Stegostoma tigrinum: one gene and its partners. The protein of the gene in region 1 binds, or shares a complex with, the protein of each later gene. Links are inferred from orthologs where the notes say so. Each region holds a gene or a part of one and is shown in the gene's direction. Other genes may lie near its edges.

What was found.
Region 2: smc4 (region 1) and ncaph share a complex: the UniProt entries of both Homo sapiens proteins name them as parts of the condensin complex. The link is inferred for Stegostoma tigrinum from reciprocal best matches to the Homo sapiens genes SMC4 and NCAPH.
Region 3: the proteins of smc4 (region 1) and ncaph2 are in contact, whole or in part, in a cryo-EM structure (PDB 9F5W), measured with the Homo sapiens proteins. The link is inferred for Stegostoma tigrinum from reciprocal best matches to the Homo sapiens genes SMC4 and NCAPH2. Residues at the interface, in NP_001002800.1 of Homo sapiens: Ile100, Leu101, Gly102, Pro103, Ile112, Gly113, Pro114, Ser117, Gln1151, Met1152, Leu1155, Phe1227, Lys1228, Ser1231, Ile1232, Phe1235, Tyr1236, Glu1239, Gln1240, Asn1253, Asn1254, Phe1256, Glu1257, Arg1261, Gly1264, Ile1265, Tyr1266, Lys1267, Thr1268, Tyr1269; in NP_689512.2 of Homo sapiens: Arg494, Ile495, Trp498, Glu499, Thr501, Val502, Leu505, Leu506, Gln509, Glu510, His512, Phe547, Cys550, Arg551, Met553, Leu554, Leu557, Gln558, Ala560, Asn561, Tyr563, Val565, Glu566, Ile567, Gln569, Leu573, Glu574, Ala576, Val577, Asp578.
Region 4: smc4 (region 1) and ncapg share a complex: the UniProt entries of both Homo sapiens proteins name them as parts of the condensin complex. The link is inferred for Stegostoma tigrinum from reciprocal best matches to the Homo sapiens genes SMC4 and NCAPG.

The regions. Positions count from the first base shown.
Region 1 is NC_081367.1:27,392,880-27,400,629, forward strand, and holds the start of smc4 (structural maintenance of chromosomes protein 4), read left to right. Parts: upstream 1-4,741; 5' UTR 4,742-4,857; intron 4,858-4,893; exon of another isoform or gene 4,894-5,001; intron 5,002-5,802; 5' UTR 5,803-5,810; coding exon 5,811-5,952; intron 5,953-7,413; coding exon 7,414-7,592; intron 7,593-7,750. Other genes in the region: ift80 (intraflagellar transport protein 80 homolog), read right to left, coding at 3,153-3,192. UniProt on the Homo sapiens protein: Central component of the condensin complex, a complex required for conversion of interphase chromatin into mitotic-like condense chromosomes.
Region 2 is NC_081393.1:10,353,505-10,360,925, reverse strand, and holds the start of ncaph (condensin complex subunit 2), read left to right. Parts: upstream 1-4,420; 5' UTR 4,421-4,540; intron 4,541-6,125; 5' UTR 6,126-6,131; coding exon 6,132-6,349; intron 6,350-6,621; coding exon 6,622-6,709; intron 6,710-7,421. UniProt on the Homo sapiens protein: Regulatory subunit of the condensin complex, a complex required for conversion of interphase chromatin into mitotic-like condense chromosomes.
Region 3 is NC_081378.1:21,665,795-21,673,296, reverse strand, and holds the start of ncaph2 (condensin-2 complex subunit H2), read left to right. Parts: upstream 1-4,486; 5' UTR 4,487-4,651; intron 4,652-5,096; exon of another isoform or gene 5,097-5,116; intron 5,117-5,229; exon of another isoform or gene 5,230-5,247; intron 5,248-7,502. Other genes in the region: lmf2a (lipase maturation factor 2a), read right to left, coding at 3,904-3,997. UniProt on the Homo sapiens protein: Regulatory subunit of the condensin-2 complex, a complex that seems to provide chromosomes with an additional level of organization and rigidity and in establishing mitotic chromosome architecture.
Region 4 is NC_081354.1:83,712,163-83,719,658, forward strand, and holds the start of ncapg (condensin complex subunit 3), read left to right. Parts: upstream 1-4,494; 5' UTR 4,495-4,607; intron 4,608-5,599; 5' UTR 5,600-5,615; coding exon 5,616-5,729; intron 5,730-7,496. UniProt on the Homo sapiens protein: Regulatory subunit of the condensin complex, a complex required for conversion of interphase chromatin into mitotic-like condense chromosomes.

The DNA.
Region 1 (7,750 bases):
AAAGGCTAACATTTCTTTAGCCTTTGTAACAAACATTTGCGCCCATCCACTAGATTTAAAGTTATTTCTGTACTTGGATATCAAAGTCTATCCAATCATCCAGATTTCTTAGCTTCTCACCATTATAAAACTATTCCAATATATGTGCCTTCAGGCAAAACAAATGGAAGGATTTTCTATTGTATGTTAAGTCCAAGCTGCATGACTTCAATTGACCCACATTTTGCCTATCCTAGTAATGTTTCGTAGCAACTTTTCATCCCATTTTACAGTCTGCTGTGCCACATAACTTAATGCTGTCAGCAAATTTGGATATACAGCTACCTATTCCTTCATCCAAGTACTATTACATAGCCAACACTAACAGTAGGATGCAATTACAACGTAACATGTTTACTTATACAGCCTACAACATAAATGTTGACATAGAAATTTACAATTAAAAACACCTTACCCCAATGTGGCAGAAACAAGATAATCAAAAGCTAGAGATAATGGGAAATGCAGATGCTGGAGAATCCGAGATAACAAAGTGTGGAGCTGGATGAACAAAGCAGGCCAAGCAGCATCTTCGGAGCACAAAAGCTAACGTTTCAGGCCCAGAACCTTCATCAGAAAAGGGGGATGGGGATACGGTTCTGAAATAAATAGGGAGAGGGGGAGGCGGATCGAAGATGGATAGAGGACAAGATAGGTGGAGAGGAGAGTATAGGTGGGGAGGGGATAGGTTAGTCTGTGAAGGACGGACAGGTCAAGTGGGTGGGATGAGGTTAGTAGGTAGGAAATGGAGGTGCGGCTTGAGGTGGGAGGAGGGAAAGGTGAGAGGAAGTACAGGTTAGGGAGGCAGGGATAAGCTGGGCTGGTTTTGGGATGCAGTGGGGGGAGGGGAGATTTTGAAGCTTGTGAAGTCCACATTGATGCCATTGGGCTGCAGGGTTACATTGATGACTGTATCGGTGCTGCCTCATGCTCCCAAAAGGAGCTCGAACAGTTCATCCACTTCAACACCTTCCACCCCAACCTCAAGTTCACGTGGACCATCTGCAACACATCCCTCACCTTCCTGGACCTCTCTGTCTCATCTCCGGAAACCACCTAGAAATCGATATCCATTTCAAACCCACCAACTCCTACAGCTACCTGGAATACACCTCCTCCCACCCACCTTCCTGTAAAAATTCTACTCCCTATTCCCAATTCCTTCGACTCCGCCACATCTGCTCCCAGGATGAGGCATTCCACTCCTGTACATCCCAGATGTTCTCGTTCTTCAAGGACCGCAACTTGTCCCCCACCCCCCACAGTGATCAAGAATGCCCTCAACCTTGTCTCCCACAACTCATCTCTCACATCCTGTCCCCACAATAACTGCCAAAAGAGAATCCCCCTCGTCCTCACATACCACCCCACCAACACACCATCCTCCGACACTTCCGCCATCTACAATCCATCCCTACCACCAAAGACATTTTTCCATCCGCACCTTTGTCTGCCTTCCGGAAAGACCACTTTTTCCGGGACTCCCTTGTCCGCTCCACACTCCCCTCCAACCCCACCACATCCGGCACTTTCCCCTGCAACCACAGGAAGTGCTACACTTGCCCCACATCTCCTCCCTCACCCACATCCCAAGCCCCAAGATGACTTTCCACATCAAGCAGATGTTCACCTGCACATCTGCCAATGTGGTATACTGCATCCGCTGTACCCATTATGCTTCTTCTACATTGGGGAAACCAAGCGGAGGCTTGGGGACCACTTTGCAGAACACCTACGCTCGGTTCACAATAAACAACTGCACCTCCCAGTCGCAAGCCATTTCAACTCCCCCTTGCATTCCTTAGATGACATGTCCATCCTGGGCCTCCTGCACTGCCATAATGATGCCACCCGAAGGTTGCAGGAACAGCAACTCGTATTCTGCTTGGGAACCCTGCAGCCCAATGGTATCAATGTGGACTTCACAAGCTTCAAAATCTCCCCTTCCGCCACTGCATCCCAAAACTAGCCCAGCTCGTCCCCACCTCCCTAACCTGTTCTTCCTCTCACCTATCCCCTCCTCCCACTTCAAGCCGCACTTCCATTTCCTACCTACCAACCTCATCCCACCCCCTTGACCTGTCCGTCCTTCCTGGACTGACATATCCCCTCCCTACCTCCCCACCTATCTCCTCCTCTATCCATCTTCGATCTGCCTCCCCCTCTCTCCCTATTTATTTCAGAATCCGCTCCCAATCCCCCTTTTCTGATGAAGGGTCTAGGCCCGAAACGTCAGCTTTTGTGCTCCTAAGATGCTGCTTGGCCTGCTGTGTTCATCCAGCTCCACACCTCTTTATTTGAAAGCTAGGATTTGCAGACGTGAAGTAGATTCTTAACATTTCACAAAAATTATAGTAGACTTTAAAGTAGGTCAATAAAGGAGAACCAGGGAATTTTGGATCTGAATAGAAATTCATTAAAAATTAATTTAGGATTGTTGTCAGTTATTTTTGTTTTACTTCAAACTGCAATAAATTACCATAAAAATCAAAACATTCAGGGCATCCAAAATATAATTAGATATGATTAATATGGAGTTGCTATCATGCTTGAAGTGAGCTTTAACAGAATGATTAGTGGTGTCTAATCTCTGAAAAAAAATTATGTAACAGCTATCAGAGTGACTGTTTTGTTCAAACTCCATTCTGTTTATTAAGGTGACCAGTGAATATCCAGAGTTGGCTGATAAATAACTAATTTCATGATAACCAAAGTAAAATTACATTAATCAGATTACCTCTTACACAGCAGATCCCCACGTTTTTAACTTCCTGTATTCTTGGCACTGTTCACTACAATATGCCTCATTCCTCTATAAACCATTTAGACAGGACTAGAACACAGTTGAGATGGATAATTTATTATAATGTTTTATTTATTTAAATAATGGAAACAAGGAAACAATATGTTCTATTTTGTTTCTAGTTACGGTAATTTTTAAAAAAATCTGAGACATGCAAATGACAAAAATGATAAATCTAAACCTACCCTGCCAACAGGCTGGATTTACTAATACTAATTTAAAGCTATACATTCTTCCAATTAATTTTTTTCTTTTATTTGTAACTTAATGCTCATTACAAAAGTTTAAAAAAATGAATTCATTGAAAGGATATGTTTCGGTTCCTTCAACAGCGATGTCTTCAGCCTCATTCTTTAGAAATTGAATTGGACACAATGATTAAATCAACTCCAGTAACAGAGGTCAACTCCACTAACTGCAACGTCTTCAGTGGCTGCCAAATTGACAAGAATGTTACCAGTTGCACATCATTGTTGAATATTAACACATTTTCAGTTTCAAATTAATTTTTATCAAACAGTCAAAAATGACCATTGGAAAGTGAATCCATTTTTACACAAATTAAAAGTGTACATAGCTACACAAATTGAGTATACACAGCATTACAATTATGTGACTATTTTCTTAGTATAACCCATTATAGCAAAAATATAAATTTGACATGGAATAATATTGCAGTAATATTTGGACGGAAGTATCAAACTCTAAGCAAGTTGCTTCTGTGCACATCATGAAATTTCTTCAAAATCTTACAAATCAACGTTTTAATTAATCTGTATGCCACAACAACAAACCTTGGTACTCTAATTTAGCACTTGTGCAAAATTTAGACAACATGCCAATATCAGTTACTCCCAAAACCTCATACCCGCAAAATTCAAACAGTGAGAAAACGCAAACACAGTAGAACTGAAAGCCCATTTTTTGAGATGCATTTCCTTGGTACATGTCACACAATCCGGACACCGCCAGCCATATAGAAAGTTATCAATACTGCCAGATTGTACCTATTTGGAAGTACGAATCCCCATTTTGGTCGAAACATTGCGAACCATCTTGATGCATTCTACAGTTGTAAATACAAACAAGTTCCAAATGTTCAACATGGTATTTCGAGCGATCATAAACAAACACTCCCTGACACTTCTGAACTGTCCACTGATGGATGGCAAGATTGAACCGAATAGGCCAAATGGGTTCGCTCACACAATACAACACATCAGTTGGCAACAAAAACCGAAAGAACTGCGGATGCTGTAAATCCGGAACAAAAACAAAGTTGGTGGAAAAGCTCAGCAGGTCTGGCAGCATCTGTGAAGGAAAAAACGAAGTTAACGTTTCGGGTCTGGTGGCCCTTGCTCAGAGGAAGGGTCACCGGGCCCGAAACGTGAACTTTTTTTTTCTCCTTCACATATGCTGCTGAGCTTTCCCAGCAACTTTGTTTTTATATATCACTTAGCAACAATATTTGCCCTATTATCAGCAGGAGCAGCAATGGGCCAGGATGTCATTTCATCTCAAACCCACAATCTATAAAGTCTGGTCCTGACGTAACCCTTTTACACATAAAACGATCGAGTGTTACACACACGTTTTTTTAAAAAAAAATGGACTGTACCAATTGACAAGCAAAGCCCACCGCTTTTACCTCGGCAATCTAAAGGAAGTCCCAGACCTCAGCAATTCGCTCAGAATCCGCTCCCCTACTTCAGTTAGGCTCCAAACAGACTACAGTCTCGCGGCGCCTCGCGAGACCGCCGCTCGCCGCTTCTTGGCAACCAACACGGCAACCGCGGCGAAAAAAGCAAACAGCTTATACTTTTTAATTTGATAATTACCAGCCCGTCGGTCTTCCTCCAAGACAACCAGCCTTGCCGCGAAATTAAATATTTATTTTGATTTTTAAAAATTTGGCATCAACCCCATTTTTTCAAACCGGCTTACCCACAATGCTTTGTCCCTCAACGAATTTCAGTCAAGTTTAGTTTTCGGCGCCATTTTCGACTGGGTCCGAGGTAAGCGCTTGAATTTTTCTCGAATTTATTCCTTTATTTTTTAATTTCCCCGTGCGAAAGTGGTCCCAAAATATTCCTAATATTTTTAAAAAAAAATAACAATCATTCGGCGCCGGAAAATCGAGTTTCGGAGTGATTTCCAAGGTATTGATGTAGTGGAAATGAAATCTGTTTTTAGCGGGATGAGATGCATGACAAATTTGTAAACATGTTGTTTCAGGGAAGTGGTTGCTATCTGCATTTTTTTAAAAAGCCCGGTTCCATTTATTGCATTGAACTAAACTTTTGAGAAATATGAACTGTCGAGTTCGTTAAATAATTACGATTGTTATCTCAGTCAGAATTTTAAATATTTTTCATTTTAGAATAGTTTTTTCTCCGATTCTTCCCTCCCCCCCCCCACCGCATTTTAGCTTTTGATTATTTTACTTGTTGGTGTGTTCTGTAAACTCAAACTACTTCATTTAAGCCATCGAACTAATATTAGACACAATTCATGTCAAATTTTGTTTTTTTTTAAAAAGTCTGTTCGTGCGCCTATTTAAGCTTAGTGACGTAGACTGCCTCAAATACACGTCGTTATATACAGCTTTTTTCATTTGATCAAATTGTTCCATTTTGAGTAAACGTTGTGTCCTTTCTAGTGAGATTTGTCTTTTATGTAATCTATACGGTTGACTTTTTAAATACAGTTTTTGTAACGTCATGATGTGGCGTTGGATTACAGTAAAGTACAGTAACTTTTCCTAATCTGGGTAGGGTTGCGGTAAATTTGGAATTAATGGGTTTTTTTTCAGGAGGTACTTTTTTTAGCCGAACTTTGATTTTTGTTTCAAAGCTTTTCTAAAGATATGGGCGTTGTGGGAATGAAAGGAATTGAATGGCAATGAAGGGATAACTACGTTTGCCTTGAGTTTTTTTTTGTTATAATAATTGCTGAACTAGGTTAAACCATGCCTGCCAAAACGAAGTCTTCTACAGCAAAGCAAAGCGCAAAACTGGGTCCGGGGGGAACTGAGCCCCTGGATGAGTTTGACAACGAAATGGATATCCAACAAAAGGCAACTGCATCAAATGTAGATGAAACTACAAGAGGTAATTTTTTCTTTGTCCGTGTATGGTTAATTTTATTTGTATTTTAAAATTTGTATTGTTAAAAATGAACGCATTTCATTTCTTGTATCTTTTTAATAAATTGAAGCTGTGATAATCGCTGCCGTTTAGTTCGTTTTGAAATTGGATTTAGCCGCCTAAAGTATGGCTAAACAGGTTGCCGATTCCATTGCCTATACGCCGAAATTGTTTTTGTAATCATTTTGCAAAAGTACTTCATGTGTTTTACCTTGGAGTTAACGGGTGTAGTTCCATTCAGACATGGGAGGAAAGCAGCCAACATTAACTAAACTTGTCAAGATCGTATTTGAACTCCGTAAGCTTCAATGACAATTGCAACGGATTACTTGTACCTAGAAAGTTGGTGCAGTAGATTTTTTTTAACCGGTTTTCAGCATAGGCTTGTAATAACTAGTGTTTACCCTGAAAGAAATATGTCCAGTCGTGTAATGGTTTACTTTTTTTCTTTGACAGTTTTTTTTTGCCCCTGACGCTGCAGCGCAATGGGGTTTGAGTTTTCTTTTCATTGTGTTCCCTTTTTTCCTTTGCGCGTTTTTGTACAGTACGTGAATTGTGGGGGGAGGGGTTGAGTTTCTGTAGCCTGGAGTACAAAACTGCTTTCGGAAGCTGCTGAAGATGTAAGAGATTTTAACCGAGAATTGATAAGACGTGTGATTTATATCTAATTACTTTCGTTTTTTACAAAAAAACGTGCGTCAGAAATTTAATAAAATTAGTCTTTTTCCGTTTTGTTGCTGCAGCAACTCCAAAACCAAGTATTTGGCAGGCGTACAAAACGCAATAGCAGCATTAAACTAGTGCAAGTTGAATACTTACTAGCCATTACTGCCGTACAGTACTTTTATGATCACTTTTTTCATGAATGCAAATTAAGTTCCTGAAATGTGATCTGTGGCAGTGTTTCACAGAGCATCCATATGATCTTGCATTGTAAATTAAAATATGTTATTGCGGCAGACTCTTCTCACAAGCATTGTTTTAAACATACACTTCAATTTATTAAATTAAACATAGTGCACTTCATTGTTCATATGTGTTGCCCATGATTATAAATATTGATTTTTTTTCATCAAGAATGGTGCATGAATAATTTAAAGAAAAATATAAATATTTGTCTGGAACTGTTTTGATCTATTAAAACAAGCCTGGGAACAAAATGTTTCTGATGGTCTTAATTTTTGTGGAACGTTGTTTTGTAATTGGACAATTTTGAGGTCATTTTGAACAGTTATGCATAACATTTTTGTGTATTAATGGTAATACCAAGTGGTATCTAACTTTTTTTAAACATCAAATGTGTGAAATGAATTGACTTTTTATAAATATTTGTGGTACAAAACTCTTGTTACATGAAATACTAAACATTATGCCTTGGTAGGATAGTGTTTAATTTGTTTTGTCTCTGTTTATATGTTGTCTCAGAATTACCAGTTGAACCAATAGATAATCGAAGCTTGGAAGAAATTTTGGCTGGCATATCTCCTCCTCCACCCCCAGCAATGACTAATGAACCCGGAGCTCCTCGACTCATGATAACTCACATAGTGAACCAGAATTTCAAGTCATATGCAGGAGAACAAATCCTGGGTCCTTTTCACAAGGTAACAGTTCACAAAAATTATACTGTTATCTAAATTCACTTTAAAAATTATGCTGTACTTAAATTCAAATCCAAAGTAATTTTTTAAAAATCAAATCGAAACATTTTGGGTGGAGATGTGAAACTGAGAAAATGCCTGGTCAGTTCCCTTAATTATAA
Region 2 (7,421 bases), on another chromosome or scaffold:
ATATTTCTCTCAATTTCTCCAATTACATCTGATGTAATATCGGAACAAATTTAACCTTTAGGAGCAAACTTAAGAAATTGATGTCCAAGTCAGGTAGTCTCGGGGTCAGGATTTGGTGCACTAATGCTATGGCCTGTGTTCGATTCCCGGTCAGGGAACTCACGATCTCCTTTGCTAGTTTTGGGCGGTACAGTGGCTCAGTGGTGAGCACTGCTTCCTCACAGCGACAGAGGCCTGGGTTCAATTTCACCCTTGGGCGGCTGTCTCTGTGGAATGTGCACATTCTCCCTGCATCTGTGTGGGTTTCCTCCAGGTGCTCCAGTTTTCTCCCATAGTCCAAAGATGTACAGGCTAAGTGTATTGGCCTTACTAAATCGCCCATAGTGTTCAGGGATGTGTAGATTAGGTGGATTCTAGGGGGATAGGTCTGAGCACGATGCTCAGAGGGTGTGGACTTGTTGGGCTGAAGGGCCTGTTTCCACACTGTAGGGGTTCTAAGTAAGTACAACAGGTCCACACACATTACGAGTAGCAATAGAACGTCATTGGGTTTTAGAAGCCAGAAATATAGAAGATAGGAGCAGGGGGAGGCCAGTTGACCCCTCGAGCTTGCTCTGTCATATATATGATCATGACTGATCCCTCCTTCTCTCCACATCCCTTAATTTCTTTGGACAAGAGCAACATGAAATCCTTGAAAATATACAATGTTTTGGCCTCAACCACTCAACGTCATTGTGAATTCCACAGGCTCACCAGTCTCCAAGTAAAGAAATTTTCCTCATTTCACTCCTAAAATGGTTTACTCTCATCTTTAAACTATGACTCCTGATTCTGGACTCCCTCACCAATGGCAACATCCTTCCTGCATCTAATCTGTCAAATTCTGTTTAAATTTTCTATGAGATTCCCCCCACCCCACCATTCTTCCAAACCCCAGTTAATAGAATCCAAACCAACACAATCTCTTCTCCTATGTCAGTCCTGCCACTGCAAGAATCAGTTTGGCCAATATTCACTGCATTCCCTTGATAGTAAGAACATTGAGTGATTTCCAAGTGCTCTGCAATGAATTCACTGTCAATGGACTTCTGCACCTTCTCCATGACAATGTCAGAATCGCTGGTCCAGAAATTTGTGTTACGTTCCTCTGTCTTATCAAAAGGTGGGGTTACATTGGCTACTCTACAACCTCTAAGAACTATTCCACAGTTAAAAAAATCTTGGAAGATGACTGCCAATGCATCTGATATTTTGAAGGCTACTTTCATAAATACTCTGGTACAGAGATTCTCAGACCTTAGGATTTACCAGCCTTCAATTCCATCAATTTCTCCAAAACTATTTCTCCACTAATAGGGATTCACTTTAGTTCCTCCTTCTCACTAAATCCAAATTATTTGTGTCCTCCTTTATGACAACATAAATGAAGTGTGAATTTAATTTATCAGCTATTTCTTGTTCCCCATTTTAATAACGTCTGTTTCTGACTGTAAGTGACCTACATCAGTTTTCACTAATCTTTTTCTCTTTACAGAAACGTTGTCAGTCAGTTCTTCCGTTTTCCACAAGCTGACTCTCACTCTACTTCCCCCTCTTAATCAATGCCTTGGTCCTTCTTTGTTAACTTCTAAACTATTCCCAATCCTCCAGGAGATTTATTTTTCTTGCCAATTTGTATGTTTCTTTTTTTTTCCCCCAACTCATACTATCTCTAACTTCCCTTGTAAACCATGGTGTTGCCAGTGTTCTTTTGCACTCTTGTGCCAGACAGAAACAAGTTTTTGTTGTTTTCCCATTTGCACTTTGAATGTTTGCCACTGTCTATCCTCTGTCACTCCTTGCAGTAACATTTCCCAATCAATCAAAGTTAACTCCTACCACTGTAGTTTCCCTCATTAAAAATTCAGGACCTGAGTCTTAGCACCAAATACCTCACTCTCCGTCGTGATAAGAAAACCCGGTTGCTCATTACGGGTTGCTCATCCTGAAGAGGTCTTTCACAACTGCTTGACCAAGTATGCATTTTTCATGACATTATACCCAGTCTAAGACGGCCTGTTTTCTTGTTTCCTAGTCAATGAAGGCAGAATTCACACAAAATCTGGTTATAGTCCAACAGGTTAATTTGAAATCACAAACTTATTCAGCACTGCTCCTTGTTTCAGGTGAAGTCGAACGTGACGAAGGAGCAGCGCCCTGTAAGCCTGTGATCTCAAATAAACCTGTTGGTCTATAACTTAGTGTTGTGTGACTTCTGACTTTATCCACTCTAGTCCAACACTGGCACCCCAAGTCATGGTGAGTTAATGGAAAGAGGCCCTTTGGCCCATTGTGTCATGTTGATCACCTATCTACTCTAGGCCCATTTTACAGCACTTCCCCCCTCAGCTTGTCTGCCAAGGCATTTCAAGTGTTCATCAAAAATCTTCTTCAATGTTGCAACAGTTTCCACTCCTACCATCCTTTCAGGCAATGAGTTCTGGATATCCACCTCCCACTGTGAGAAAAAAAATTCTTCCTTGAATCCCCTCTATAGCTTCTGCTCCTTGCCTTGAATCTTTGCCTCCTGGTTACTGACCTCTCTACTAAAAACAAAGGTTACTTCCTATGTCCCTCCAAATTTTGTAGATTTCAATCAAGTATGTGACTCAACCCTCTCAAACGTCAAGGAAGCAACTTAAGCCTATCTGGGATAACATGGTGTGAGGCTGGATGAACACAGCAGGCCAAGCAGCATCAGAGGAGCAGGAAAGCTTGACATTTCAGGTCGGGATCTTTCAGAAATTTTTGAAGAAGGGTCCCGACCTGAAATGTCAAGCTTTCCTGCTCCTCTGATGCTACTTGGCCTGCTGTGTTCATCCAGCCTCACACCATGTTATGTCGGATTCTCCAGCATCGGCAGTTCCTACTATCTGTAAAGCCTATCTAGTCTCTCTTCATTGTTGAAACACTGGAACCCAGCAAACATCCTGGTGAATGTACTCTTGAGAACAATCACATGCATCCTATATACTGTGCGACAGGACTGCATACAGTCCTCAAGCTGCAGCCTCTGTAATGTTATATACAGCTCCAGAACAAGCTCCTTGCTCTTGATGTAATTATGCCATATGACTTCTTCACAATCTTGTTCACCTATCATGTTGCATTCAAAGATCTTTGGATAAGGGAAACAAGGTGCCTCTGAATGTCCTTCGGTCCTACAGTATGGTGTGAACCTCGGAGGCATAGCAGTCTTCCCCAAATGCATCAGCTCACTGTTTTCTAAATCAATTCCCATTTGTCACTGTTCTGCTCATTGGACTCACCCCAGTCACAAGAACATGCCTTGACCATCATCCTCAGCTTCCTGCCATGAAGCCAACCTTTGAATCCAATTTGTCAAACTGCACTGGATCCCATGGGTTCTAGTCTTCTTGATGAATCTCCATGTGTCAACTTGTCACAAGTTATTTTGGTTTTTAACACCAGTCAAAGAACCTGTGACCAAACCATTGTGCTGTACCAGAGATAATGGGAACTGCAGATGCTGGAGAATCCAAGATAATAAAATGTGAGGCTGGATGAACACAGCAGGCCAAGCAGCATCTCAGGAGCACAAAAGCTGACGTTTCAGGCCTAGACTCTGATGAAGGGTCTAGGCCCAAAACGTCAGCTTTTGTGCTCCTGAGATGCTGCTTGGCCTGCTGTGTTCATCCAGCCTCACATTTTATTACATTGTGCTGTACCAGTTTTGTCAGTGTGGTCAATACAATCAATGAGGCATGAGAGAAGCATTCATACACTGAAGTAAGCGCAAAGAAAAGTTGCAAATTGATCAGTCACCTCCAGAGTCTAATTTATAAAAGGACAAATAAAAACTGAGGAGCATTCAAAGCACAAGTCTGTTGTGCCTGTCAATAAAACCACGGTTAATCCACATCTATCACTTTCTCGCTTTTGCTGCAGGCCGGAAAGTCTTCTCACATTGTATTTGATAAAAGGCCTGGAATTCTCAGATGCGGCATTGGAGATTTTTTTCCCCCGCAGCCAAAGAAACCTCTGGAATTACTGAAGAAACAACTGCACTTGGAAATGTGAGGTCTGACGTGACGTTTGAAGAGGGGCCGAACGGCTTTCTTCGTTCACAGTCATCTTTCAGGAATGATCATGAGACGAACACTGTGAAGATCGGAGAAATTCAGGCAAAGGCACTCTTCGGTGTGTGTCCACGGATTTCTGTCAGTTTTGCTGATAATCCGTTTTTCCGAAAAGGCTGACGGTTCACTCCACTCGTTGCAAGAGGGCATACACATAAGGCACTGCGCGTGCGCAGAGCGACAACCTCCCCTTTCCCGGCGTGTTGCGCGTGCGCGGAGCGTCGCATCCCCGGGAACACCCAGCGAGCCGCGCGTGCGCACTATCGAGCCGCGGGAAAGTTTGAATTCCGATTGAAGTAACGGCAGAACGGAGCGAGATCCCGGCCGTCATCTTCCCTCTCCAACCGCGGGGTCGGATACAGCGACGTTGAAGAAATTCGGACATCTCGATCACTCAGGTCAGTGCGAGCCAGGACGATTTGAGGAGGCCTGGAGATTGTGTTTTTTTTTCATTGTTCGCTTATTGCATTAGAGCGGGCGGAAAAAGTTAGGCCGCAATCGCAACCCAAATCTCTCGGAAACATACACGTACGCCATCCTTTAACATCTGAACAGAGTGGGTGTGAATGTTTTCAACCGACACCCGGCGGACAGGGTGAGTGGTCGGTCAATCCAAGCTGAGTTGGACCGGGATTGTGGAAATTCAATCGCGCTGGCCCGTGTCCCCAAGTTCTGGCTGACACGCCTTCCTGCTTTCGTTGAGAAGTTCTTGGTTCAATACTGCGGCAATCCCTACACAAATCAACAGACCCACGAAAGAAATGATAAATAGCTCTGCCTGATTGCAGCAAATTACCAAATTCTCGTAAATAAAGCCATGAACTACGAATGTTGGGAAAGTTGAACCAAAAACACAAATTGCTGCAGAAACTTAACAGATCTGGCAGCATCCGTAGAGAGAAATCAGAGTTGGGTGTCCTGTAATCCTCCTTCAACACGGTTGGAGATTCTGAAGAAGGGTCACTGGACTGTAAACATTCTTTCGACAGATGCTGTCCGACCTGCTGAGTTTTTCCAGCAATTCCTGTCATTGTAGTCAGGTCTCAGTTCACTTAAGGTTCCTATTAGCAACTGCGTTGCTTGGCGTCAGGGGTTCCGGTTGCAGAGACGTCTGCGACTGTCGAAAGATAATAGATGAATGAAAATCGTGACGACGATAAGTAGATCAAAAATGCTTCACCGTAATGGCAGTAATTAAGGCGGCACTGTGGCTCAGTGGTTCTCTGTTGTCTGACAGGGCCTCGGGTTCAATTCCACCCTCGGGCGTCTGTCTGTGTGGAGTTTGCACATTATCCCCGGGTACTCCGCTTTCTTCCTACAGCCCAAAGACGTGTAGGCTAGGTGGTTTTCATCCCTGCAGTGTTCAAGGATACGTCGATTAGGTGGGTAATAGGGGGAATGAGTCTGGGTGGGATGATCAGCGGTCTCTGTGGACTTTTTGGGCCGAAGGGCCGGTGCCCACACCGTGGGGATTCGATGGTCACATAGTAGCTGAGCGTGAAACTTGAGTGAAGAGATTAAAGTGGTTTATTTGGCTGGATGAGGCACGCTGAAGGTGACATGAATGGCTGTAAAGCAAACCGAAGATCTGCAGATGCTGTAAAACAGGAACAAAAACAAAGTTACTGGAAAAGCTCAGCAAGTCTGGCAGCGTCTGTGAAGGAAAAATCAGAGTTAACGTTTTGTGTCCGGTGACCCTTACTCAGAACTCCTATGTGAAGGAGTCAGGTTGGTATGTTAAAAGCCATTTAAATATACATTAGAAGGAGAAATAATGGTAAATGTGCTTTCATGGCTCAACCATCTACGTAAGCACACTGGAATTTTGGAGGAGAAGGCCAGATCGTGGTTTCCCAAGACAGATCATGAAGTCTTGAACAGGTCAGACAGATGTGGGGAAAAGTGGAAACTATTGATTCCATGACTACAGCTTTTTATTGCTCTTTTGCTTGAATGGTCTTTTGTTGTATTTGTTTGTCACAGGGCAAAATGGATTCTTTGATCTCAGTTTCTCAAGTGGGGTCTTCTGACCACAAGTTTATTTCTCCAGCTACGAAGCGACAGGCTGTTCAGACTCTAAAGTCCTCTGTAAAAATGGATGTTGCAGCAAATGATGATGAACGTGAAAGGAGAGAGAGAAGGCGCTCAAAAGTGACAGACTTGCAACTAAGTGGCACAGAGAGCCCTTTGGTATCCCCAGTGCAAAGGTAGGTTTCATTGCACTGTTTCATTCTCATGTCACTTAGCATGTATTTGTGTATCATTGCTCCAGAGTGAACTCTGCTTCTGCTTTTCTTCTGTGCTGCTTCTGAACCCTGAGTATTGTCCAAAGGCCTTCCTAATTAACATTACAGGTTGCTACTTTTGTTGGTGTGATGTGTCAGAATTCTTGACTCTGGGTTTGTTTGAATGCTGAGCTGTGGACAAGTTGCTTTTGACCTTCAAAATAATTGATTCTGATTGTCATTGATTGTTGCAGGGGGACCCCACAATCCTTTGAACCCAAACTGTCAAATAATCAGATATCTGAACACTATTCTACCTGCATCAAACTATGTTCTGAAAATGTAAGTGGATGTTGACAGTTGTTCTGAATTCATAACAGACTCAGTTTTTTCTTTACAATGTCAAATTTGTTGAAAATTGGAATGGACACGTGCTTCTTGTACCGTTGCGTCAAATATAGACCTGCTGGAATGTGTCATTGGGTACTGAAGGAAGAAGCTACAGAGATAGTGGATGTGTGGGGAGTAATCTTCTAAGAATCCTTTGATTCTGGAAAAGTCTCAAAGAATTAGAAAACTGCCAACGTAATGCCATTATTTAAGAAGAAATGGAGGCAAAAAAAAACTTGAGGCCAGTTAAATTTATAGGTTATTGAGAAAATGTTAGAGGCTATTATAGAGGCAGTAACACCAGAGCAGTTAGAAATGCATCCATCAGGCAGATTTAGATATGATCAGGCAGGATGGTTAAATGGAATGTTGGTGTTCTTTACTGCAAAAGGAATAGAGTATAAAGGTAGCAAGATTGTGCTTATATATGCAAGGCATGAGTCAGACCACAGCTGGAACACAGTTTTGTGTCCCTTAGCTCAAGAAAGATATACTGGCATTGAAGGCAGTCCAAAGAAGATTCAGTTAGTTATTACCACATATACAACGACTGTCAAGGGTGGATAGGGAGAGCCTTTTTCCTAGTATTGTGATGGCGAGCACAAGGGGGCATAGCTTTAAATTGAGGGGTGAAAGATATAGGACAGATGTCAGAGGTGGTTTC
Region 3 (7,502 bases), on another chromosome or scaffold:
TTGACAGCCCTATATTTGTAACCAAAAAGACTGGAATTATTGCAGTCAGATCCACCTTAACTTTCTCAATTGCTTCTCCCAGCAGCCTATAATGTACATAATTCAGACCCAGTTATTTACTGACTTTCAAAGATTCCACTGCTCTTAAAGTTTCCTCTCTATGTTTATTCTGTTCAATATTTTATATTCTGTAACTATGAAATCACTTCCTTTATTTTGTGGAGGCGAATGCAAGTTATTAATTAAGAACCATACCCTTGATTTTGGCCTCTACACACATTATACCTTTCTAGTCTCTATACGGCCCTACACTTTTGGCTATCTGTATAGCCTTTATGTATTTCTGGGAAAAAAGTGTTTCAGTGAAACTATATGTATTGACAAACTAGCTTTGATGATTCTCTCATTTTGCTTTTCAAATGTCCTGTCTAGGTTTGCTCCTGCCCTTTCTACATATCCCTCAGTTACTGCGTTACTGGTTCTTAGCTGTTGCATGCTGTTTCACATTGAGGGAAGCCTGTATTTGGAACTCCTAAACCTTATCTCTACAGGAGTACATTTATGCCAAATATTCTGTCTCCTTCATGTATGCCTCTCATTGTTCTGACACTGGTTCATCCTTGAGTAGCTGTTTCCAGTCTTTGCCAAAGCACATCTCACAACTTTTACTTTTGTGGCTACTTTGCATTAGAAGCTTGTCAAAAGCATCCAAAATCAATCAGCTGTGCTACTTCCTCAAAAAAAATTCAGTGAAGTTAATAACTGTAGAAACATTGGTCTCAGGATAAGATCACTGAAGAATGTCATTTCGTGTATGTGCATGGTTTCTGAACAATCATATTACCTAGTGACATTTCCCAGTGTTCTGTGTAAACCTCCTGCACATCATTCCTTTGCAAAATAATAAAACTCACTTTTTGAATATCTTGTTTCAAACTTCCTCCACCACTCTCCAGTCCATTCCAGGCCCTAACACTGTACTATGTGCAAAAGCTTTTCCTCGTAATTTTCTTGGCTGAACAATTACTTCAATCTATACCTTTTATTTCTTGGTCATTTCAGGAGAAACAGTTTCTTCCTATCAATTCTATTCAGACACATCTAAATTTTGAGTGCCTTTATCAGACCTCCTCTCATCCTTCTCTTGGCCAAAGGAAGGAGCCCCAACTTCTTCAATGTATCTTTACGACTAAAATTAATTTCCCTAGAACTAACCTTGTAAGTCTCAGCCCTCTACAATGCCTTCACATCCTTCCTGAAAAGTTAAACTGCCATTGTCCTGGAGGACCACAGGACTGCTCTCTCATGATAGAGACAAGACTGGTAACGAATTTAACCTGAAGATCAACATGTCTCAGGCAATGAGAGAGGTTGACAAGTTGGGGCCTTCATGTTAACCTTGCTTGTGTGCAAATGAACCCACGCTACTGGGGTCACTCTGCACTGTAAGCCAGCTGTCCAGCCAACTGAGCTAACCAACCTCATTCTTTCTAAACTGTGACACCAGAAACTGTCACAGTAATCCAACTGAGGCCAAACTATGCAAGTTCAATGCAATCTCAAGTAAAAGCAAAATATTAAAGATGCAGGAAATCTGAAATAAAAACAAAGTGCTGGAGAAACTGAGCAGATCCAGCAGCATCATTGCAGGAACAGAGTAAATATTTTCAAATCAAAGATTACAAAGGGACATTGATAGGATGCAGAGATAGGCTGAGAAGTGGCAGATGGAGTTTAACCCTTAAAAGTGTGAGGTGATTCTTTTGGAAGGACAAACTTGAAAGCAGAATAAAAGGGTTAATGGAAAGATTCTTGGTAGTGTGGAGGAGCAGAGGAATCTTGGGGTTCACGCTGGCAGTTCCCTGAAAGCTGCGACCCAGGTGGATACAGTTGTTAAGAAGGCATATGGTGTGTTAGCTTTCATTAAGAGAGGGATCGAGTTCAAGAGCTGCAAAGTTATGGTCCAGCTATACAAAAGCTTGGTTCGGCCACATCTGGCATATTACGTCCAGTTCTGGTTGCCTCAGTACAGGAAAGATGCAGAAGCGTTGGAAAAAGTGCTGAGAAGATTTACCAGGTTGTTGCCTGGAATGGAGGGAAGGTCTTAGGAGAAAAGGCCGAGAGAGCCAGGGCTTTCCTCTTTAGAACGACGACGGATGAGAGGTGACTTGATAGAGGTATACAAAATGATCAGAGGCATAGATAAAGTGGACAACCAGAGACTTTTTCCTAGGGTGCAGGTAGCTGTTACAAGGGGGCATAGTTTCAAAGTGAGTGGAGTAGAATGCATTGCCAGACAGGGTAGTGGAGTCGGTCTCATTAGGGGCATTTAAGTGGCTATTAGATGGGCATATGGATGATAGTGTAAGGTAGGGGTGCAAGTTAGATAGAGCTTAGGATTAGGGTAAAAGTTCAGCACAATATTACAGGCCCTTCGGCCCACACTGTGCTGTAAAAAAAATACTGTACTCCAAACGTTTCTCTTTCCACAAATATTGAGGAGTTTCACCATCTGACTTGCTGATTTCAATATAATTTCCTGGCTGTATATCCATGTTAAAAGCCTTTATCACACCTGAAATTGGCCAGTGACAAAAAATTCAAGGAAAGGGAGTGGACAATGTGAAAAAAGAAAAATGTTACTTTTAGGATCTGCAATAGTTATGTTTTGAAAGTCCTTCTGACATCATCTTAATGGGAACGGCACACAGCCTCAGCTAAACAGCCCAATCACAGTCCCATACTGGCAAACAGCTCTCTTCCAATCACAGCTGCCATCTTATCAGAATGGAGTTCAACTGATCCTACGATTCAGAATTTCACCCTTGCAGGTGAAGCACAACATTCTGACTGCTGGCCTGTTGTTCTCACTGGTAGATGATTCAGGAAAAACTGTGCATTCAAATGAAAACTTCAAATCCACACACGCACACGCGTTAAAAAATTACAGACAGAAGTGATAGAGATAGAAGATGCTTGGCCTGCTGTGTTCATCTAGCCGTACACCTCGTTATCCCATGAGAGAGAATATGTTGCTTGTCCAACATGACTCTCATTGGACTCAACGTTTTTGTATTACTCTCTGCAAGGTACTGCCACACCTGGTTTTCTTCAGCACTTTGTCTTTACTTGGGAAGCTTAAGCTTCCCTGGAAAGAAATGTGATGGAGAGAGAGAGAGAGAGCACTCACGATGTTCAGAAACATGGAAATAAAACGCCTAGCAGGTTTCTTCTTTAATAAAAGTCATGGGGTGGTGGCTTTTCTGTTCGGACTAGCATTTATTGCCCATCATCTTCAGGGTAACTAGGAATGATGCTGAGCTGCCTTCTTGAACCTCAATAGGGGAGGGTTCACAGTATGGAATGGTTTCAATGAACTGACTGCAATGGTCATTTCCTAAACATTATTCCCTCCATACATAGCACACAATTCAAGTCTCGCACCAAAATAACCATGCAATCTGAAGCAAACTCGCACCAAACTCGAAACGTTACTTCAAACTCCCTCTCTCTCCCCCCACACGCTGCCAGATCTGCTGAGTTTCTCCAGCATTCTGTGTTTGTTTTAGCTTTACAGCATCTGCAGTGTGTTGCCGTTAACTATAGAGTGGCTCTGCTACACCAGAGTCCCCAGATCAAAGTCTAAACTGCACCACTTCATAAACACAAAAATGCACTCTGTCAACATTAACAGCAACAACTCTTTCCAAACTGCCAGCCAACGCTAACTCACACGGTGCTGTTTTGGAAATAAACGATGTGTTCCACTTCAGTCGGTTTCCTTCCATTAACCACACCTCTCCCTTCTCCATGAGGCTCCTTTACCCAACTCCCGCCAACTGACTACACTCTTCACCGAGGCAGAGCTTTTAAAACCCAGAATATCAGTGTCATCACTATTACCTGGGATCTGTACATAAAGCGAGGTGAATGCACACAAGTAAATAGCATTCGTGCCCCAGAGGAAAGCTGCCCGCGACAACACAATCTCCCCCATTCCGAGCTGCAGGCCTGGACATAACCACTCTCATCACCGCAAAGGGGGGGGGGGAGGTGGTCAACAGCTTCGATCCATAACGATTCCATTATAATAGCTCACAATATAACTCAGACTGAGTCGCGCTTTGAAATAATAACCACATTTTGAAATATATAACCAGATTATCCACGGTGTTTTTTTTTACTTTAAGAAGTTTCTAAAGTTACTATTCCCTGTTCCCGGAATGGATTGCTCTTAATCGTTACCGTCTTTCTGCATTTGCAGCCTGTACCATCATGGCAGAAGGGGAGATCATCTCTAAACATCTGAAAAAAAAACAAAACAAAGTAATAATTTCAAATTAAAATTTAAACCCGCGTTAAAAATTTAGCGATCTGGTTTTATTGTGATGGAAATTCTTTCAAACTCTGTTTTCTTGCCTCTTACTAGTAGACTAATGATTGAGTCCGTGTCGCGCGCATGCGCATTCTGTGGTTTGTACCTGCGCGGGAAAAACAAAAAATGGCGCTGGCCTAAAAACGGGTAAAATAAAACAATCAGAGAAAAGAAGGGAATATTCAGAGAAAATAGGGGAATATTTTGAGAACTGGATTTATAATAATCGTGCTTGAGAAATGTGGAACGTAGCTAGATACGGTTCTTCGGTGGGGGGTGAGTCTCGGCTTGTCAGTGTCAGTTCGAATCTCCTTTTGTTAAATATAGTTTCTTTCAGATTTCTGTGATTGTATTCTTGTTCGTTACAGTTTCTTGTGTTCTGGTTTTGAAGAACGGCCCACTTCAATCATTTACTAATTTCTTCCCTACAGTGTCTGATTGAACCACTTCTGTTTACTGCAGTTACTGGTTTACTTCTTGGCGGCAACAGAAATCAACTTGTCTTTAATAATATGATGTAACAGAAAAATAAAACGTGTGAAATATATTGGAATGGACCATTGTTATTTATTGCAAAGGGCTTTGGTGCGCAAACGTTGGGAAATGTCATTATAGTTGTTCGGCCCTTGGTGAAACCAGGTGTCGTAGACAGTTTGGTCACCTGAAGAAATAATGTAATCGTATTGGAAGCGCAGAGAAGGTTGAATCGATTGATTTCTGAAATGAGGAAAATATGGGCAGGTAGGGCTCGTGTACCTTGGAGTTCAGAAGAATTAGAGCGTATATTGTTAAAATATGTAAGGTACTGAAGGCAATGGGCAGGATGAATGGTGGCAGGACGAGAGAGATTCGGACTAGGAAACAATTTTAAAGTGAGAGGTTTCCCATTTAAAATGGAGATTGATGAGAATTATTTTCCTGAGCAGGCCATTAATTTGTAAGAGCAGTGGAGGCATGGTCATTGAACATTTTTAAGGGTGTGTTAAATATATTCTTGACTGAAAAGAAAGTGATGTTTTAAAAGGATGTCAGAGATAGCAAAGTGTGAAGCTGGATGAACACAGCAGGCCAAGCAGCATCTCAGGAGCACAAAAGCTGACGTTTTGGCTGTGCTCCTGAGATGTTGCTTGGCCAGCTGTGTTCATCCAGCTTCACACTCTGTTATCTTGGATTCTCCAGCATCTGCAGTTCCCATTATCTCTTCTTTTAAAAGGATGTCGCTTGGGCTGTAAGGTTTGAGTTATAGGGAGAGGCTGAATAGGGTGGAGTACTGAAGGCTGAGGGGTAACCTCTTAGAGGTTTGTCAAATCATTAGAGGTCCAGTTAGGTGAATAGCCAAAGTCTTTTTCCAAGGGTGGGGGAGTCCAAATCCAGACGACATAGGTTTTAAGCTGAAAGAGCATTGATTTTTAAAAAGGATCTGAGGGGTGACCACTTCACGCAAAGTGTGTATGCAACAAGCTGTTAGAGAAAGTGGTGGAGGTGTGTACAATTGCAACATTTAAAAGGGATTTGATTGGGTGAATGCATGGTTTGGAGGGTTATGGGTTAAATGCTGACAAACGGGTCCAGGCCAGATTAGGGTGTCTAGGTAGCACAGACTAGTAGGACCGAAGGGTCTGTTTCAGAGCCGTATGACTCCATTAATCAAATGGTGTAGGGGTAGATAGGAGCAGGTACAGGGTGCTGAATCACCTACTCCTGCTCTTAATATGAATGTCTGTGGAACAGCTCTTCAAGGTCAGAATTCAGGACGTCAGAAAAACTGATGTCACAATAATCAGTTTATTTAATTCTGTTGTGTAACCTTAATTGTTATTGTATTATCATTATCTGAGTAATGTACTTGGATGAGACACTATTGCCTCAATAATGAGGACTTATTTAAGTGATTAAAGTAATTCCCAATAGACTTTTTGTTTGCTGTATAAACCGTAATTTCATGGCCTCAGACATTGGTAGCAAATTACTGACTATTGTACTCCAGGAATAGGGTTGGAACCGAGCTGCGTTTTCCCCATGTATTATTTCTCATTTTTTCTGTTAGGATCTCTGCCTGAGGTAGTGTTGACTAGATGAAACAGTGTGTGATGTGTTTTAAAGCTTTGAAATAACAACATTATTTTTAACCCTTCTTTCCCAATCATGCCTCCTCTTCCTCCAACCCATGTTTTTGTTGCTCTTTCTGTAGTAATGATTTCTTGGTTCGATGATTAGTGGCTTTTTGCTTTGTTCCCTATATGCTTTGATTATGTATTCCTTTTAAATGAACATCTTGCCCAATTAAAGAGATGTTTAAAAATTCTTTTAAAGGTTTTGCAAACAGATTGTTTACAGTCTGTTGCTGATGTTGTGGGATTTGATTTGATTTGATTTATTATTGTCACATATGACATACAGTGAAATATATTGTTTTGTGTGTGAGACAGGCAAATCATATCCTACATAAAGTACATTCAAATGCTAGAACAGAATACGAATATAGTGTTACAGGCTTAGAAAAGTTGCAGAGAAAGAACAAGTTTAATACATAAAAGGTCTGTTCAAAAGTCTGCTAATGGATGATATCAGTTCATCCACATGAACATGACAAAAAAGGACAAGGAATTTGTATTTAGCTTTTTAATTGTGGAGGTAGACTTTCTTTTGAATTCAAGGAGGCTGAAGTCTAGAAAATAAGAAGATTATGACTTGTTATTTTGCTTGTGGTTTGTGATCTTGTCTCCGAGCCTGTGACCTAAAGACCCTAAATGTGAGGGGCAAATAACTTCCATCCTGACACTTACTGAGACACAGTTAGCCATGATGTCTGAGCCAGTGGCTGTCACATTCAGTTTACTGTTTATACCAAGCCTCCAGGAACCAATAATAACGGAAGTTGGGACTAAGTGTTCTGACTCTAAACATATGTGACAGAGTTTTGAACCCATACCTGGATACTGCTCGACTACCACCAACTATCTGGAGTCTGTCTTCACGATTCACCAAGGAAGGAAATAGCAATAGTTTATGAAGCATCCCTAGATTTCAGAGTTTCCGTCTGAAACCATGATTGGAGATGAAAGTGCTGTTCATGTAGAGGATAAACACCAACACAATTGACTGCGCTAGATGGACCTATTTGAGT
Region 4 (7,496 bases), on another chromosome or scaffold:
AGTCGTGTCCTGCAGGGTTAAGTGTTGGGGCCACAGCTGTTCACCTTATATATTAATGATCTGGAAGAAGGCTCTGGCGGCATTCTGGTGAAGTTTGCCGATGATACAAAGATAGATGGACAGGCAGGTCATACTGAGGAGGTGGGGAAGCTGCAGAAAGATTTAGATAGTTTAGGAGAGTGGTCCAGGAAATGGCTGATGAAATTCAATTTGAGTAAATGTGAGGTTTTGCACTTTGGAAAAAGGAATACAGGCATGGACTATTTTCTAAATGGTGAGAAAATTTGCAAAGCGGAAGTACAAAGGGATCTGGGAGTGTTGGTCCAGGATTCTCTAAAGGTTAACTTGCAGGTAGAGTCCGTAATTAAGAAAGCGAATGTAATGTTGTTTGCTCAAGAGGGTTGGAATATAAAACCAAATCTCCCCTTCCCCCACCGCATCCCAAAACCAGCCCAGCCTGTCTCTGCCTGCCTAACCTGTTCTTCCTCTCACCCATCCCTTCCTCCCACCCCAAGCCACATCTCCATTTCCTACCTACTAACCTCATCCCACCTCCTTGATCTGTCCGTCTTCCCTGGACTGACCTATCCCCTCCCTACCTCCCCACCTATACTCTCCTCTCCACCTATCTTCTTTTCTCTCCATCTTCGGTCCGCCTCCCCCTCGCTCCCTATTTATTCCAGAACCCAGATTCCATCCCCCTCTCTGATGAAGGATCTAGGCCCGAAACATCAGCTGTTGTGCTCCTGAGATGCTGCTTGGCCTGCTGTGTTCATCCAGCTTCACACTTTGTTGTCTTGGATTCTCCAGCATCAGCAGTTCCTATTACCTCTGATATAAAAGCAGTGATGTGCTACTGAGGCTTTATAAAGCTCTAGCTAGGCTCCATTTAGAATACAGTGTCCAATTTTGGGCCCCACACCTCAGGAAGGACATACTAGTCCTGGAGCGTGTTCAGCGGAGATTCACATGGATGATCCCTGAAATGGTAGGTTTAACGTATGATGAACAGCTAAGGATCCTGGGATTGTACTCATTAGAGTTTAGAAGGTTGAGGGGAGATCTAATAGAAACTTACAAGATAATGTATGGTTTAGAAGGGGTGGACGCTAGGAAGTTGTTTCCGTTAGGCGGGGAGACTAGGACCCGTGGGCACAGCCTTAAAATTAGTGGGGGTAAATTTGAAATGGAAATGAGGAGACATTTCTTCAGCCACAGAGTGGTGGGCTTGTGGAATTCATTGTCATGGAGTGCGGTGGAGTCCGGTACGTTGGATGCCTTCAAGGCAGAGATTGACAAATTCTTGATCTCAGAAGGAATCAAGGTCTACGGGGAGAGTGCAGGGAAGTGGAGTTGAAATGCCCATCAGCCATGATTTAAATGGTGGAGTGGACTTGATGGTCCGAATGGCCTTACTTCCACTCCTATGTCTTATGGTCTAAACCTTATTGGGTTCTTTGAGAAGGCGACCAAACAGGTGGATGAGGGTAAAGCAGTTGATGTGGTGTATATGGATTTCAGTAAAGCATTTGATAATGTTCCCCATGGTAGGCTATTGCAGAAAATATGGAGGCATGGGATTGAGGGTGATTTAGCAGTTTGGATCAGAAATTGGCAAGCTGTAAGAAGGCAAACGGTGGTGGTTGATAGGAAATGTTCCTCCTGGAGTTCAGTTACTAGTGGTGTACCGCTAGGATCTGTTTTGGGGCCACTGCTATTTGTCAGAGGGCGTAGAAGGATGGGTTAGTAAATTTGTGGATGAAATTAAAGTCGGTGGAGTTGTGGATAGTGCGGAAGGATGTTGCAGGTTACAGAGCGACATAGCTAAGCTGCAGAACTGGGCTGAGAGGTGGCAAATGGAGTTTAATGCGGAAAGGTGTGAGGTAATTCACTTTGGAAGGAGTAACAGGAATACAGAGTACTGGGCTAATGATAAGACGCTTGGTAGTGTGGATGAGCAGAGAGATCTCTGTGTCCCTGTGCATAGATCCCTGAAAGGGTCCACCCAGGTTGATAGGGTAGGGTTGTTAAGAAGGCATACGGTGTGTTAGGTTTTTTTGGTAGCGGGATTGAGTTTCGGAGTCAAGAGGTCATGTTGCAGCTGTACAAAATTCTGATGTGGCCACACTTGGAGTATTGCGTACTGTTCTGGTCGCCGCTTTATAGGAAGGATGTGGAAGCATTGGAAAGGGTGCAGAGGAGATTTACCAGGATGTTGCCTGGTATGGAGGGAAGGTCTTATGAGGAAATGCTGAGGGACTTGAGGCATTTTTCGTTAGAGAGAAGAAGGTTAAGAGGTGACCTAATAGAGACATACAAGATGATCAGAGGATTAGATAGGGTGGATAGTGAGAGCCTTTTTCCTCGGATGGCTAGCACAAGGGGACATAGCTTTAAGTTGAGCGGTGATAGACATAGGATAGATGTCAGAGTTGGGTTCTTTACTCAGGGAGTAGTGAGGGTGTGGAATGTTTATCCAATGACCATATAAATGCCCTTAAACTTGGCGAGTCTACTGCTGTTGCAAACAAGATATGAATAAACAAGATATTTTTGAGCTGACAGGCTATAACCAGTTGTGAAATGCAAGGATCTGTATTTGAAACTTAGCTGTTCACAGTCTATATTAATAACTTAAGATGATGGGCTGATTTTATAACATTCTAATTTGCAAATGATCCAAAATTAGCTGGGAAATAATCAGTGAGAAGTGCATTAGAGTTTGTAGGGGATATGGTAACATTGGCTGCATGGACAAAAGGGAAAAAAAGACTTTCAATTATTTTAGCACTTCATGTCCATTGACATGTCAAAATCTGAATTATTTTGAATTATAGTTGCTGCTATAATGTAGTAAATATAGCAGCCAGGTTACACATAATGAATTCACAAACAGTAATGTGATAATAACCAGCTAGTCTTCTTTTTGTGACAAAAACAGAAAATGCTGGAGGAACTCAGAAGATCTGACATCTGTGGAGAAAAAGCAGAGTTAATGTTTTGGATCCAGTAACCCTGCTTCAGAACTGATTGAAGTTAGGAAAAGGTTGGCATAAAAGTGGAAGGTGGAATGGGGATAGGAAGAAATGATAGATGGAGATGGAGTCCAGAGAGAGAGAGAATAGCAATTGGGCAGAAAAAGGAATGGGCAAATGGCCAGCCTGGGAGAATCCTTGGCTGCTAATGGGACTATTAATAGCTGACAATGGGTTGGTTGTGGCAGCAGCCCATGTGTTAATAAAGCCTGCTATTTTGGGGAGTTCAGTGAAGAACACGGAAGTAGGTGTTCAGGCCCTAAAATTATTGAACATTTTTATATCAAGCACGGAAGGGGGGCGGCATGGTGGCTTGGTGGTTAGCACAGCTGCCTCACAGTACCAGGGACCCAGGTTCAATTCCATGCTTGGGCAACTGTGTGTGGAGTTTGCACATTTTCCCCATGGTGCATGGTTTCCTCCAGGTGCTCTGGTTTTCTCCCACAGTCTAAAGATGTGCAGGCTAGGTGGATTGGCCATGCTAAATTTCCCATCGTGTTCAGGGATGTGTAGATCAGGTGGGTTGTACAGGGATGGGTCTGGGTGGTCTCTGAGGGTCAGTGTGAACTTGTTGGGCCAAAGGGAATGAGAAGAAAATGAAACTTTGCTCTTCCAGTTTGTGCTGAACTTCTCTTTGTGATGTTGGTTGGTGCTTAAATGAGGGCCAGAACTCCACAGATAGTTCTTCTGCTTTTCTTTGAAATAATGCCATGGGACCCTTTACTGTACATGCGGGAAGATGGGACCTTGAGTTAAGATTTCATCTGGAAGATGGTGCCTCCAACACTGAAGTGCTCCTTCAGTGCTGCACTAGACTGTCAGCCTTCATTTTTGTGCTGAAGCCAGAACCTTATGGGTAGAGTGGTACCAGCTTCTCCATGGCTAACATATAAAAACAAGATGGTGATGGGAACATCGATCCGTATGCAATCCATAGTAGCAGATTCGTTTTTTTCTAATCGACCAAAAATTCCATTATATCCATAAACATGGCTGATATCTCTATTAAAAAAATTGTGTAGCTACTTGTGAAAATAAAAACTACACTTTCTTGGTGCTCATTAATAACTACTGATGAATAAATAGTGAGTTGTGCTTTTGTTTTCTTGTCTAAGTCCTCAATTTTGTTAAGCATTGCTCAAAACTTCATTGAGTAAAATGACTTTAATCTTTTCCGATTGAGGGAAACAGTACATTCATAGTGATCTAAATATGTTAACTGGCTAGGAGTTGTCTCCATTTGGAAGTGTCTCCGAATAAACAGCAACAGACATCCCAAATTAGACCATGGATCGAGCCACAATCACATTGAACTACGGCAGACGCTGGAAGGATAAATATCCCCACTAAGCCCGCCCGTTCATAGCCACACCCCCCTCATAGCCACGCCCCGGCATCGGGAGACCCGCCAGGCCCGCCCCCTGCGGTGCCTGCGCTTAGATCACCATCTCGCGAGAGGCAGTTTGAAATTTCTGGCGGTTGTTGTTGGCGGTTCGCGCTGAGAGCGGGTAAACAAAAAGGGGGCTGCTTTGTGGCAGAGCGGACTCGAGAGAATCATAGACAGCTAGAGAGGTGAGACCGCGGGGGCGGGGATTATCGGGGAAGGCTGAGGCTGGGGAGTAGTTGATGGGATGGGGAGGGGGGTGAGGGCTGTCGGTGGCGGGGAGGTGTGGGCAGGCGGGAATGGGGAACCGAAGGTGAGTCTGAGGTGGGGTTGGGGGCGATTGGGCAGATGTAGTTCCGACAGGGTTGGGTGGTGGGATGAGTGATCATCAGTGTCAAAGATTAGGCAGGATATTTTTAGTCCTAGGTCTTGTGTTTTCTGTCTGGCTTCAGTGAGGAGGATCACTGAAGATCTTATAGGAATTTATGACTCACATCCCTGCCTTCGTGACTCATCACAGTGATGCTTTGAAAACTTGGAGCAAGCCTATCTTCACAGTAGCAACACTGACTAGGACATCTCCAACTGTTGGGCCGTCCATTCCAATCTGATGCCATACGTTGTCACTTCACTAGTAGTTGGAAGATCTGCTGTTTGATTCAAAGTTGCTCCTAGTTAATACTTTTTCTAAATTGCACAAATCCTCAATGCTTATCTCACACAGGACTGGTGGGGACATTTGTCCCGTGGAGCGGCATGGTGGCTCAGTGGTTAGCACTGCTGTGTCACAGCTCCAGGGACCTGGGTTTTGTGTGGAGTTTGCAGATTCTCCCTGTGTCTGTGTGGGTTTCCTCCCACAGTCCAATGATGTCCAGGTTAAGCGAAATAGCCATGCTAAATTGCCCATAGTGTCTGGGGGATATGTAGGTGAGGTAGAATAAGCAAGGGAAATGCAGAGTTACAACAATGGGGTAGGATGGGACAGGTCCAAATGGGATCCCCTTCGGAGAGTCGGTGTGGACTCGATGGACAGAATAACCAGCTTCCGTGCTGTAGGGATTCTATGATTCTTCATATTCACAACTGAACAAAACTTTTTAACCGTTGGAATTATAACTGCTTTGAAAGATCCTGTTGGACAGTAATTTATGATTCATTAAATTTATATTGTCTGTTTCAGATTTTTTTCCATATAAATGGGTACACAAAAAAATCAAATGCTCCAAATACAACAAGCCTTTGAAAAGGCCCAGAAAGGACATCAAAATCTTGCAAAGTTGGTGGCAGGTCTTAAACAAATATACAATCAGGTACAGTGAATTGCATAGTATTTAGACAAGACTGCAGTATATCAAATTTCCTTACCAGAAATTGTATCAGAGATAATGGGAACTGCAGATGCTGGAGAATCCGCGATAACAAAGTGTGGATCTGGATGAACACAGCAGGCCAAGCAGCATCTTAGGAGCACAAAAGCTGACGTTTCGGGCCTAGCCTTCATCAGAAAAGGGAGATGGGGAGAGTGTTCTGAAATAAATAGGGAGGGGGGGTGCGGATCGAAGATGGATAGAGGAGAAAATAGGTGGAGAGCAGACAGACAAGTTAAAGGGGTGGGGTGGAGCCTGTAGAGGTGAGTGTCAGTGGGGAGTGGGTATGTCAGTCTGGGGAGGACAGACAGGTCTAGGGAGTGGGATGAGGTTAGTAGGTAGGAAATGGAGGTGTGGCTTGAGGTGGCAGGAGAGGTAGGTGAGAGGAAGAACAGGTTAGGGAGGTGGGAACAAGCTGGACTGGTTTTGGGATGCAGTGGAGGGAGGGGAGATTTTGAAGCTTGTGAAATCCACATTGATACTATTGGGCTGCAAGGTTCCCAAGCAGAATATGAGTTGCTGTTCCTGCACCCTTTGGGAGGCATCGTTGTGGCACTGCAGGAGGCCCAGGGTGGACAAGTTGTCTAAGGAATGGGAGAGGGCATTGAAATCGTTCGCGACTGGGCTGTTTATTGTGAACCGAGTGTAGATGCTCTGCAAAACAGTCCCCAAGCCTCCGCTTGGTTTCCGCGACGTAGAGGAGGCCACAACCGGTACAGCGGATGCAGTATACCACATTGGCAGATGCACAGGTGAATGCATCATCCTCCGACACTTCCGCCATCTACAACCCGACCCCACCACCAAAGACATTTTTCCCTCCCCACCCTTGTCTGCTTTCTGGAGGGACCATTCTCTCCGTGACTTCCTTGTCCGCTCCACACTCCCCTCGACCTCCTCCACACCTGGCACTTTCCCCTGAAACCACAGGAACTGCTACATTTGTCCCGACACCTCCTCCCTTACCCCCATCCCAGGCCCCAAGAAGACTTCCCACATCAAGCAGAGTTCACCTGCACATCTGCCAATGTGGTATACTGCATCTGCTGTACCTGTTGTGGCTCCCTCTGCATCGGGGAAACCAAGTAGAGGCTTGGGGACCGCTTTGCAGAACATCTACGCTCGGTTGGCAATAAACAACTGCACCTACCAATCGTGAACCATTTCAACGCCCCCTCCCATTCCTTAGATGACATGTCCATCCTGGGCCTCCTGCAGTGCCACAACGATGCCACCCAAAGGGTGCAGGAACAGCAACTCATATTCCGCTTGGGAACCCTGAGGCCCAATGGTATCAAGTGGATTTTACAAGCTTCAAAATCTCCCCTCCCTCCATTGCATCCCAAAACCAGCCCAGCTCATCCCTGCCTCCCTAACCTGTTCTTCCTCTCTCGTATCCCTTCCTCCCACCTCAAGCTGCACCTCCATTTTCTACCTACTAACGTCATCCCGCCCCCTTGACTGCTTGACCTGTACGTCCTCCCTGGACTGACCTATCCCCTCCCCACCTACACACACCTCTACAGGCTCCATCCTCGACCCTTTAACTTGTCTGTCTGCTCTCCACCTATCTTCTCTATCCATCTTCGATCCGCCTCCCCCTTTCTCCCTATTTATTTCAGAACCTTCTCCCCATCTCCCTTTTCTGATGATGATTCTCGGCCTGAAACATCAGCTTTTGTGCTCCTAAGATGCTGCTTGGCCTGCTGT